3 linked regions of the Kluyveromyces lactis genome follow. The protein of the gene in region 1 purifies or fractionates together with the protein of each later gene. This does not show direct contact. Links are inferred from orthologs where the notes say so. Each region holds a gene or a part of one and is shown in the gene's direction. Other genes may lie near its edges. The genes, in order: SNP1, SNU71 and PRP39.

The links.
Region 2: the proteins of SNP1 (region 1) and SNU71 purify together in Saccharomyces cerevisiae (affinity purification with mass spectrometry; 8 studies listed by BioGRID, with this or other methods). This does not show direct contact. The link is inferred for Kluyveromyces lactis from reciprocal best matches to the Saccharomyces cerevisiae genes SNP1 and SNU71.
Region 3: the proteins of SNP1 (region 1) and PRP39 purify together in Saccharomyces cerevisiae (affinity purification with mass spectrometry; 6 studies listed by BioGRID, with this or other methods). This does not show direct contact. The link is inferred for Kluyveromyces lactis from reciprocal best matches to the Saccharomyces cerevisiae genes SNP1 and PRP39.

The regions. Positions count from the first base shown.
Region 1 is NC_006039.1:703,556-706,473, reverse strand, and holds SNP1 (U1 snRNP complex subunit SNP1), read left to right. Parts: upstream 1-1,369; coding exon 1,370-2,275; downstream 2,276-2,918. Other genes in the region: CCR4-NOT core ubiquitin-protein ligase subunit MOT2, read left to right, coding at 1-958; ARG56 (bifunctional acetylglutamate kinase/N-acetyl-gamma-glutamyl-phosphate reductase), read left to right, coding at 2,883-2,918. UniProt on the Saccharomyces cerevisiae protein: Involved in nuclear mRNA splicing.
Region 2 is NC_006039.1:1,599,437-1,603,272, reverse strand, and holds SNU71 (Snu71p), read left to right. Parts: upstream 1-1,598; coding exon 1,599-3,305; downstream 3,306-3,836. Other genes in the region: nicotinamide-nucleotide adenylyltransferase NMA2, read left to right, coding at 1-65; MCY1 (putative cysteine synthase), read left to right, coding at 290-1,444. UniProt on the Saccharomyces cerevisiae protein: Component of the U1 snRNP particle, which recognizes and binds the 5'-splice site of pre-mRNA. Together with other non-snRNP factors, U1 snRNP forms the spliceosomal commitment complex, that targets pre-mRNA to the splicing pathway.
Region 3 is NC_006037.1:712,391-716,063, reverse strand, and holds PRP39 (Prp39p), read left to right. Parts: upstream 1-1,197; coding exon 1,198-3,045; downstream 3,046-3,673. Other genes in the region: BFA1 (Bfa1p), read right to left, coding at 1-717; UV-damaged DNA-binding protein RAD7, read right to left, coding at 3,106-3,673. UniProt on the Saccharomyces cerevisiae protein: Function prior to stable branch point recognition by the U1 snRNP particle to facilitate or stabilize the U1 snRNP/5'-splice site interaction. Has a direct role in the assembly or function of a catalytically active spliceosome.

The DNA.
Region 1 (2,918 bases):
TTTACATGAACCAGGGGAAGAAGCGGATGCTTTCAACAATGCCAGGAAGGAACATGCCCATCACTCACATGCACCACCTACACTTGCTAAACCGTCTACAAGTGCAAGCTCTACGCCAAAGCTTGCTCATGCTTCATTGAGAACAGATGACTCTACTGTGCCAGCAGCTGCAACTTCAAGCTCGAAGCAAACCGCTCCTGTGCTAACACCAGCTCCAGTTCCATCTGGTTCAAACCCATGGGGTATATCTCAAGCACCCACACCAGTTTCTACTATTTTCAACAAGACTTCTACTTCTACCACTTTCCCTACGTTGTCAAGCTCCTTGGGGGAAACTCTGAACAGTCCAGGTCCAGGCACTCCTACGACCACTGGATCTGCCCCAACAGCAAACTCTTCTTCTAACGTAAGTTCGAAGAAGAAGGGCGAAAAGACATACGAGGATCCTTACGATCCAATGGCAACATGTGTTAAGTTCCTAGATCAAACTTTTAAGTTTTTATCAGATATTCCTGAAAGAAGCTACACATTCAACTCCAACTTATTGGATGACGAAACATATCAAAGTTACCCATCACTTTTTTCATTTGAGAAGATTGGATGTAGTGAGCAATCTGAAGGTGTCTTGGGTGCCAAACTATGTGATTTGCTTACTATAAAACCTGTGGACCACATGTCCTCTCTTCTGCCATTCATTCAAAACAAGGCTACACCTACCATGTTACCACCGGGAATTGCTGTCCAGCAACCACAATTAGTACAACAGCAGAAGCAGCAGCTACAGCAACAGCAATTACAGCAACAGCAACAACAGCTTTCACTGCAAATGCAACTACAAGCCCAACAAGGCATGGCGCAGCAAGGCATGGCGCAGCAAGTTATGAGCCAGCCACAAAGCAATTCTTCCGATCTACTAAATCAATTAATTCACGGTAAGAAACAGACTGCTGCCGTATAATCAGTACTCAGTATGATTCCAATAATATTTCTTTTACGAAGTTAGCATATAAATAAATATATATATTCATGTACATTCATTTATTTTTCAATATAAACCGTTCCAGGTTGTTAGATAAACAACTGTTTCAATTTCATTTTTCCAAATCAGACCTTGTAATCTACTGTCTTTCTGGGTTCTTCTTTCTGTCAAAGGCATTCACATTAAAATACATATTTTGACACACTCTTTTTAAGGTTTTTCCATCAATTATGTGAAAATTGTAACATTTAACATCTAAATAGTAAAGATGCGCCAAAAATATGGAATATAATTACATACACTTTACCTCAGCGCATACACCTTAACCTCGATACTGCGGTAAGCGCATCAATAAAGATAATATTGGCACATATCCATTCCAATTAATAGATGAAACCACAAACGAGGAAATACAACAGGCATAATGGCTTTCACACTTTGACCAAACTTCCGTCTTCAGTATCAAAGTTATTTACACAAGGTCCACCATTACCACCATCGAGAGTGAGAGTAAGGCGAAACCAGAACAAGAAATATGCACTCACTGGTGTATCAGCCGTGTTGCAACATGTTTCAGAGTATAAGAAGGCAACCCATCCCGTATCAGAGAACCAACACTTGAAAGTATATGATGAAGCCATGAACGAATCGCACAAAGAACAGGAGGAGTTGATGAAGAAAATACAAGAGTGGCACCCTGAATCAGATGCAAACATTTCTAGTGACCCCTACCGCACATTATTTGTCGGACGGTTACACTATGCCGTAGACGAAGTTGAACTACAGAAGAGTTTCGTCAAATACGGCGACATTGAATCGTGCAGAATAGTAAGAGACCAAGACGGTAAGAGCCGAGGATACGGTTTTGTGCAGTTTACCAGTTATGAAGACTCCAAACAGTGTTTCAGAGAGCTTGGTGTAAGGAAGGGAATAGAAATCATGGGCCGAACATCCATCGTTGATATAGAAAGAGGCAGAACGGTGAAATTCTTCAAACCTCGACGTCTAGGTGGAGGATTAGGAGGACGAGGTTACCAAAGGAAAGATCTCGTAAATAAATTAACTGGTGCTTCAACAAGACCGATGCATGAACATGCTAGAAGACCCATCAGAAGACACGATACCTTCGAAAGAAGAGGTCCTCCACAAGGGCATTCCCATTCTTATCAACCAACTAGTCCAATATCCTCACCTGCATCAAATTTCCAAAAAACTGCAAGTTCTAGCTACCGATCAAGGAGGGACAGATCTCGCAATGATACTTCCAATGGTTCTACAGACACATTGATGTATTGAGATGAGATAAAAAGACACATCAAATAGCACGTGATCAGAACTGCTGCAGTGATCTATATACATTTTCATATATATTCATATAAGTAGCCATACAGATGAGCCATGGCTAAATGTTATATGTACTTCCTACCATTTCTACCTCTGTTCTCATATCTACGCAGTTCTCCTACATTGTGCCCACTGGCCAAGCATAACTGAACCACTACCTCTGTATGCATGAGTAATTTCTTGATCGATGACTGATTCCAAAATAACGATGGAAAAAATTATTCCAGTCAAACAAAAAAAAAAAAAAAAATGGCAACTCAGCGAATCGCACATATAAAGAAAACCGTTTTCAGTTTCCCATTCGCTAAGTATTTCCATTAGGTATCTAAAGTATGAGTTAACTCGTAAAGTACTGAACAGCATTATTGTCTAATCGAAGTTAAGACCAGCTCTATCCATCTGCAGGACAAATTAAAGGGTTTGCAGGAAAGTGTTGATACCTGCCTTTTCAGTGATAGTGAGCCAAGCCAACTGTTTTATCTTCTTTAAAGGATTTTGATTAGATAAAGAAGAAGAAGAAGAAGAAGAAGAAGAAGAAGAAGAAGAAGAAGAAGAAAACATGTCTGTCCCATCTGCGAGATTGTTGATGTCAACG
Region 2 (3,836 bases), about 900 kb from region 1:
AAGAGCATGGCTTGTACGTAAACCAAACTGAACCAGTGAAACAAGTTATCGGTAACAAGGATTGAGTGTGACACTAATTGTTCTAATCACATATTCTCCTTCTCCTTTCTAGACTCCTCCCTGGTCAGACTCACGTGATGTCTTTAACTCGAAGATAATATACACACAAATTGTAACAGTTTTTAGTTAGTTGAAATCCTTTTTATAATAGAAGTTCTTAATCAACAATAGTATTTGTCGTCTAGCGAAAGTTGCGCATGCTGTTATCCTTTGATCTAGCTCCGTAACGATGACTGCTGCAGACAGATGGAAGGATTATGCCTGTGTAACATCCCTTTTCGTGGCTGTTGCATCGTTATACTATGCATATAAGGTTAAGACAACTACATTAACTGCTCTATCACCACCAAAGGATGGAGTGGAAGACTTGATAGGAAATACACCAATGGTAAGAATTAAATCTCTTTCCGATTATACTGGTTTGAACGTTTTTGCCAAAATGGAGTTAAATAATCCAGGTGGTAGCGCAAAGGACAGAGTTGCCTTGAATATTATCAAAACCATCTCATCGCAGGAAGGTATTAAGGGTTCAAGTGATAAGAAAAATAGAATCTTTGAAGGAACAAGCGGATCTACAGGTATATCCCTTGCAATATGTTGTAACGCGTTGGGTTACTCATGCCATATCTCGCTACCGGACGATACAAGCCAAGAGAAACTTTCTCTTTTAACTGCACTTGGTGCAATAGTGAACAAGGTAAAACCTGCTAGTATAGTGGATCCGAACCAATACGTAAATGCAGCTAAGTCGTGTTCAGAAGAGTACACTGAGGGTGTTGGTGTATTTGCAGATCAATTCGAGAACGAGGCCAATTGGAAATGCCATTACGAAACGACAGGACCTGAAATTTATCTACAATTAAATGGGGAAGTGGATGCATTCATCACGGGATGCGGTACTGGTGGTACCATGGCCGGTGTTTCTCGTTATCTAAAGGAGAAAAGAGGTGACAAAGTACATATTGTGTTGGCTGATCCGCAAGGCTCGGGTTTCTACAATAGAATCAAATACGGTGTCATGTACGATAACGTAGAGAAAGAAGGAACAAGAAGAAGACATCAAGTGGACACATTAGTGGAAGGAATTGGTCTTAACAGAATTACAAACAACTTTCTGAAAGCGGAAAATTATATAGATGATTCCATCAGAATTACAGACGAGGAAGCTATTAAGATGGCCAAATTCTTATGTGTAAATGACGGATTATTCGTTGGTGCCAGTACTGCAATCAATGCAGTCGCAGTGCTGAAATATGCGGAAAACTTACCGAAGGGTTCAAATGTTTGCATCATTGCATGTGACAGTGGCTCTAGACATTTAAGCAAGTTCTGGAAAGAGGCCCTGCAGGTGAGTAACGATCTTTCAATTTCAGATATCATATAAATAACGTACAGTGTGTTTAACTTTGGTCTTTTGTAAATATCAATTAATTGGAAAAATCTTGAAATATATATATCGAGAGAGTAGACGTAAAGTTTCAGCGATGAGTTAGCAAATAAACGCTGATACTACTAGGCCGAACGTGTTTAACTCACTAATGGATACTGTATTGTTTGTGTCGCCCACATTATACTGCTGTGGAGACACGAAGAACTGGCAATCACAGGTGCCGAAGCCAGGATATGTGCCGATTTTGAAGAGTGATATCCCCAAATTTGAACAGTCGTTGAAACAAGCCAACAGCCATAGAGACCATGATAAAGGGAATTCAGTAGCCTCGAAGACTAATGAAACGGACAATTCTGATGAATTCAAGACTTCAACTTCACGCTATGTTGATTTGAAGTCCTTTTTACCAATTTCGTTAGAACAACAGTTGCATACCGTTTGTTTAGCACATTTTCCACTGGGACTTGGATCCAAGGGTATTGATAAAGTTATGGACAGACTAGACAATCTAATACGGAAAAAGCTGCAAGTTGAAGATAATGAGACCAAATTTATCAAACAATGGAGTTACGTCGATTGTGTGAATACGTTGACGGTATATATAAGTTTCCAGGAAAGTATAGTGGAAGAATATGGGAAAGCGATACAGTTACTTGAGAAATTGTTTGACAACGGGTCAGATGGGATCGGACTTCACATGGATGAAAACACTAGACGGTTCGTTTGCGATCTGACGGAAGGTTCTCCTGCTAAGGAACTCGATGAAACTGCAAAAGATGAGTTCTCCGCATTAATTACAATGTTGAGATCTGAACCAGGCTCTATATCTCAGGAGAAAGGGTTGGCTGGAAATAGTGCCGTTGAGTATAACGTGGATATAAGTACGTTGAGTGACCTTCCGAGTTCCTCATTAGACCAATTGTGTAAGGATATTGTTGAGTTTAGAACTCGTGTCATTACGTTAGAGAAAGAGAAACGGAATAAAGAGCTAGCGGAGGAAGAAAAACGGAGGAAACAAAACTTGAAGCATATATTTGACCGTATCAAGGTTACTAATGGAGGCTCGGAAAAAGGTTCAGCCCCTGAAGCTGAAAGTGACTCTGAAGATTCAGACGACGAGGTTGAGGGTTACGATGATGAAGATGCGGACGATTACGAAGCGGAAAAAAAAAGAGTTCAAGCGGAAAGAGATGCGCAAGAAGCCCAGTATGAATCCATGGTTCATAGTTTCCAAGATTCGTTACTGGTCCAATACTCATCGCTACGACAAGAATACCAAAGGTTACAAAACTACGAAACGCATTTACAAAAGAACAAAGGTCCTATGTTAAAAGAGTTATTACATCTTGCCATGGATCCTTACCACGACCATCACAGGCCATACAAGGAATCTGAATCCAAGGCAGATGAAGAGGACCGTAAACGGGAATCTGAAGAAGTACCAAAGAAAAAAGCAACAGAAACAGAGCCAGAGACAGAACTAGAGCTAGAGCTAGAGCCAGAGACAGAGACAGAGACAAAATTGGTATCGGACGCAGATGCGACAACGGCTGCACCAAAGATTAAATTAGCACTAAAGAAATCCATTGGAAAGACAAAGAATGAGATAGAAGAGGAAGAGACTCCTGAAACCGATGCGTTCCAACAGAAGTTGAATCTACTAAGGGAAAGCGGCGTAGTGGAAGAACTCGTCAAAGAATACTTGGGAGTTTACGAGCCCGACTTAGTCTCATATATCTTTGAAAACATCGAAGAACATCAATCGAAACAGGCACTCGAGACTGAGCTTACAGAGACGTTCGACGAAGATAGCCCTGTCCTAGTGAGCCGTATATGGGAAGCGATGGAACAGTAGTGGAATATACCATACATGTGAATATACATATATATGTATATGTAGGTATGTGTGTCACATGTCTAATAATGAGATTCTATTACCCGGTTACGTCTCACGTGACTGTCACGAAATTTTTTCGCCCGATTCGAGTGTTCCAGCCAGATCGGGCGGTAACATGAGGTTACTAGAGGTCCGGGTAATCGTGTTTCATATTGATTCGCGTTTTGTATATCGTATATAGCGATACATTCTCAACTTCACCAATTTTTTACCAGATCCAGAACGGTTACAGGAAGAATTGGCAGGATGAGATAAACAAAGGAACAAACATAGAGATTCTATTACTTGTAACTTATGTACACACCTGATAATGGTGGAATTTAGTTTCTGTTTTCGTTCGGGTTGCTTTAGGCAAAAGATAATAAGTTTTTAGATTCGAGATTTATCGTCAGGGTCAAACTTTTCAACAAAGAACGTTACCAGTGGTAATATTTTGGTGTATACATCTTTCTTTTCTTTGTGTTCCTCCATTCATTCATTTATTGATTC
Region 3 (3,673 bases), on another chromosome or scaffold:
GTAACTCCTTCTAACTCTGGGCACATATGGATAGGGTTCATCATCTTCATCTTCATCGTCATCTTCGTCATCTTCGTCCTCAAGTAACACATCTTGACGGTTGAACCTCATTAACGATGGCATAGATGACTTATAACTGAGAGTTCGACCAGAACTGGGTCTAAGGTTCATATAAGACCTGCTGTTCGGTACTCGACGCGATTGCTGTGAATTCAAGCTTGTAATATTACCTTTACTACGGGTTGCCAAATCGACCATCGATCTACGCTGTCGTACCGAATCCTTCAACGATGGCCGCACTAGTCCCGCATGGTTTATATATTGATCCACATTTCTAGTACCACTACCACCACCGGTCTTAGAATTTCTCAGGTTCAATGATAGCTTCTTCTCCAGTTGTTCTTGCAAATCAGCTAGCTCGTCCTGATCCGAACTTTCCCTAAATCGTCTATCCACAGCAAGAGGTAGGTCTGTACCATTTTGGTACTCTTCAAAATCACTGTTATAGTTCATATCATCATCAAGATCGCTCGCCAGTTCCGTGTGTGATGAATACCTCTTATCCTTAGAGAATGTGGTATTTTCCGTAGTTGTGGATGTAGCTGAATTAGGTGCCAATCTCGGTACCTCTATATCATCTTTATAAGTAAATGTGCTTTCAACATCTTCAAATGATGTTTCTCCGACATCATCCAGTACAACTGGACGTATAGACATCGATAATCGAAGATTGTCCCTGGTCTTTTCCCTTGTTTATTCCTTTGTTTACATCTCGAACATACCTTTAATGCTTCCGTCATTGATGTATCTATTAACCTTAAACAAAATAATCATATTCGTGAGACGTGATACTATATTAATTGCTGTTTAAACCGCTGTTGAGACGCCAATTCTGCATTTCGAGCACTCCTATAAAACACTGAGATTCCCAGAATTCGACTAAGTTAATAATTACCTTTTAAACACTCATTTAGGCGCGTTTATCTCTGTTTGTTTTTCTTTCATGCTTCCAAAATGATTCAAAATTGCAAAGAACCGTATTATTGTAATTCTTTAAGATAAATCTCTGTTAAAGATGCATGATGCCACCAAACAGAACAAGAGCCTTTAGCTGCTATCCGTGAGCCGTTTTGAGTGTGAAGTCGGCAGCAGGGGTTTGCATATCAAATTTAAGAAGGAAACTAGGGATTTTATGAAATGTTTGAAGGATTAGACCAAACTTTTCTGAAGAATAACGATGAATGGGTGCAGAGTTATAATTCTGTTGACTGGAACGATATAACTACTATCGACAAACTGGTGGTTGGTACAGAAGCATTGGTACAGAAATACAATAATCCCAATGAACATGTGAAGAGCAATATATATAAAGTTTTTGATGAGTTATTGGGAAGGTATCCGTTATTTTTTGGTTACTGGAAACGATACGTTGCGGTGAAATATCAGCTAGATGGATTAGAAGGGTCTATTTCTACTTTAAAGGCATCTTTACATTCGTTCCCTACGTCGATAGATCTTTGGATTGATATGTTGAACGTTTATCTAACACATAATCAGAATGATAGTGAACTGATACGAAACCAGTTCAGGAAATGCGAATCCCTCGTGGGATCTCATTTCCTCTCGCACGATATTTGGGATAAGCACATTGCATATGAAACAAGACTACAGAACTGGGAAAACGTATTTGAGGTGTACAAACAAGTCATGCAGCAACCTTTGCATCAATATGCAAGATACTACACCAGCTTTAAGGAATTCTTGGAATATCACCCAGAGTTTGCTAATAGGGAATCAAGCATCCATTTGGATACCACATTTATTTCTAACCAGGAGAAGGTGAACAAAATATGGACATATGAATCACAAATAAAACAGCCATTTTTCAATATCCCTGAGCTTCCCGAGAATGAGATTCAGAATTGGGATGCTTATCTATCTTTCTTAATCAACAACACTGAGTTCAGTACAGAATTAATAAAATCGACGTTTGAGAGATGTTTGATTCCATGTTTAAGATACGAATATTTCTGGGGAGCCTATATTGACTGGACTGAAAGGACTTTTGGTCCCGAATGTACGTTCCCCTTGTTTGAAAGAGCACTCCGGGCTCTTCCTGCTGATAATAAATCTTTCAAGCAAAAATACATCAAATATTTGGAAAGTAATATGGATCCATATAATAAATTATCTTCCAAACACTATATGGACGCTCTATACACGTTCCAGCTTAAATGGCCACATGATCCAAGTTCAACTATTAAATATTTAAGGTTTCACAAGAGAAGATATTTTGCAGCATCTTTGAATGATGAAGACAAAAAGATCTTGGAACAACAGAGTAAATATGCTACATTTTTGGATAAAACTATCAAGGCGTACCTATCAGGGAATGCAGATACGGAAAATCACGACATTTCCCAGCAGTTGCTTGCCATGCTAAATGACACTACTCTTCCGATACTGGTAGTTGAACTAATAAAAGTGCATTGGCTGGTATTGAAGAACGTCATTCAATGCAGGAAACACTTTACATACTTCGCCAAATTGGATCCGATCAAGACTTCAGTCTTATTTTGGTTGACTTACTACAAGTTTGAAAAGACTCAAAAAAATATCGCCAGATTAACAAAGTTTGTCGATCAATTAGGCACTGAGATCGTATTACCAACAAAAGTTATCAATGATATCGTACGAGATTTCCAAGGGTTTTATCTAATCAATGCAGATTATTCCGAGTACGAAACCAATTTATCGCAATCCCGTTTTGGGTTTGACCCAATAGTTCACAATAGGTTCAAAATCAACAACCCAACATGGAGGCCGAACGCCAAGCTAACCAAGGACTGGTATAAATCAGAAAAGTATAGATCGAACGGTCATCCTGGATTGTTCATTGATAAGCCTCAAATTAAAAATACTATAATAGAGACGCTTGCATCGAAGCAGCTCAATCCAGCACCTTTGCCTACTTTTAGAAATTTAGAAAAGATCCATCAGAAACCTAAATTTGATGATTACATGTCTATAGATTATTTAAAGTAGTAGCTGAAAGGGCATTCTCACACTCAAGCATTTTCATGATCCTAGAATTTTTTTAATCATTTATATACTGTCACTTTGCCTTCCGATAATGCTTACACCATTCCGAGGAGAGCATTTGCCTGTGACTTGATTATCACCATAAACTTCAATAATAGTGAGCTTTTCATTGTCCTTGGATATCTTTTCCACAATTTCATTATCCACACAGTGGACAAACCCTATATTTAGCTGCTTGAGGTTAGGACATGCCATGAAGGTGAAAGTTTTGGATGTTAGGGATTTCAGACCATTTAGATTCAACTCTTCTAAGGTGGAAGAGGAGTTAAGTAATAATTCAACTACGGCTGCATCCTCCAAAGCAAAACATCTTTTCAAGCTACATCTTTTCAACAAAGGGAACTGCAACGAAGAGAATAATAGAACTATGCCGTCGGTGGTTATCTGATCCAATTCTTCTAATTCCAAGTCTGTAAGGATTGATTGCCCTGAGTTAGACAAAAATGGTAAAAATCCATTAATTATACAGCTATCAGTCAAGCCAGTGCATCTATTGAGCGACAACTTCCTAAGGTTCTGGCCTATGGATCCTAACAAACTTATAATAACCTCGTCATTAATATCTGTTTCT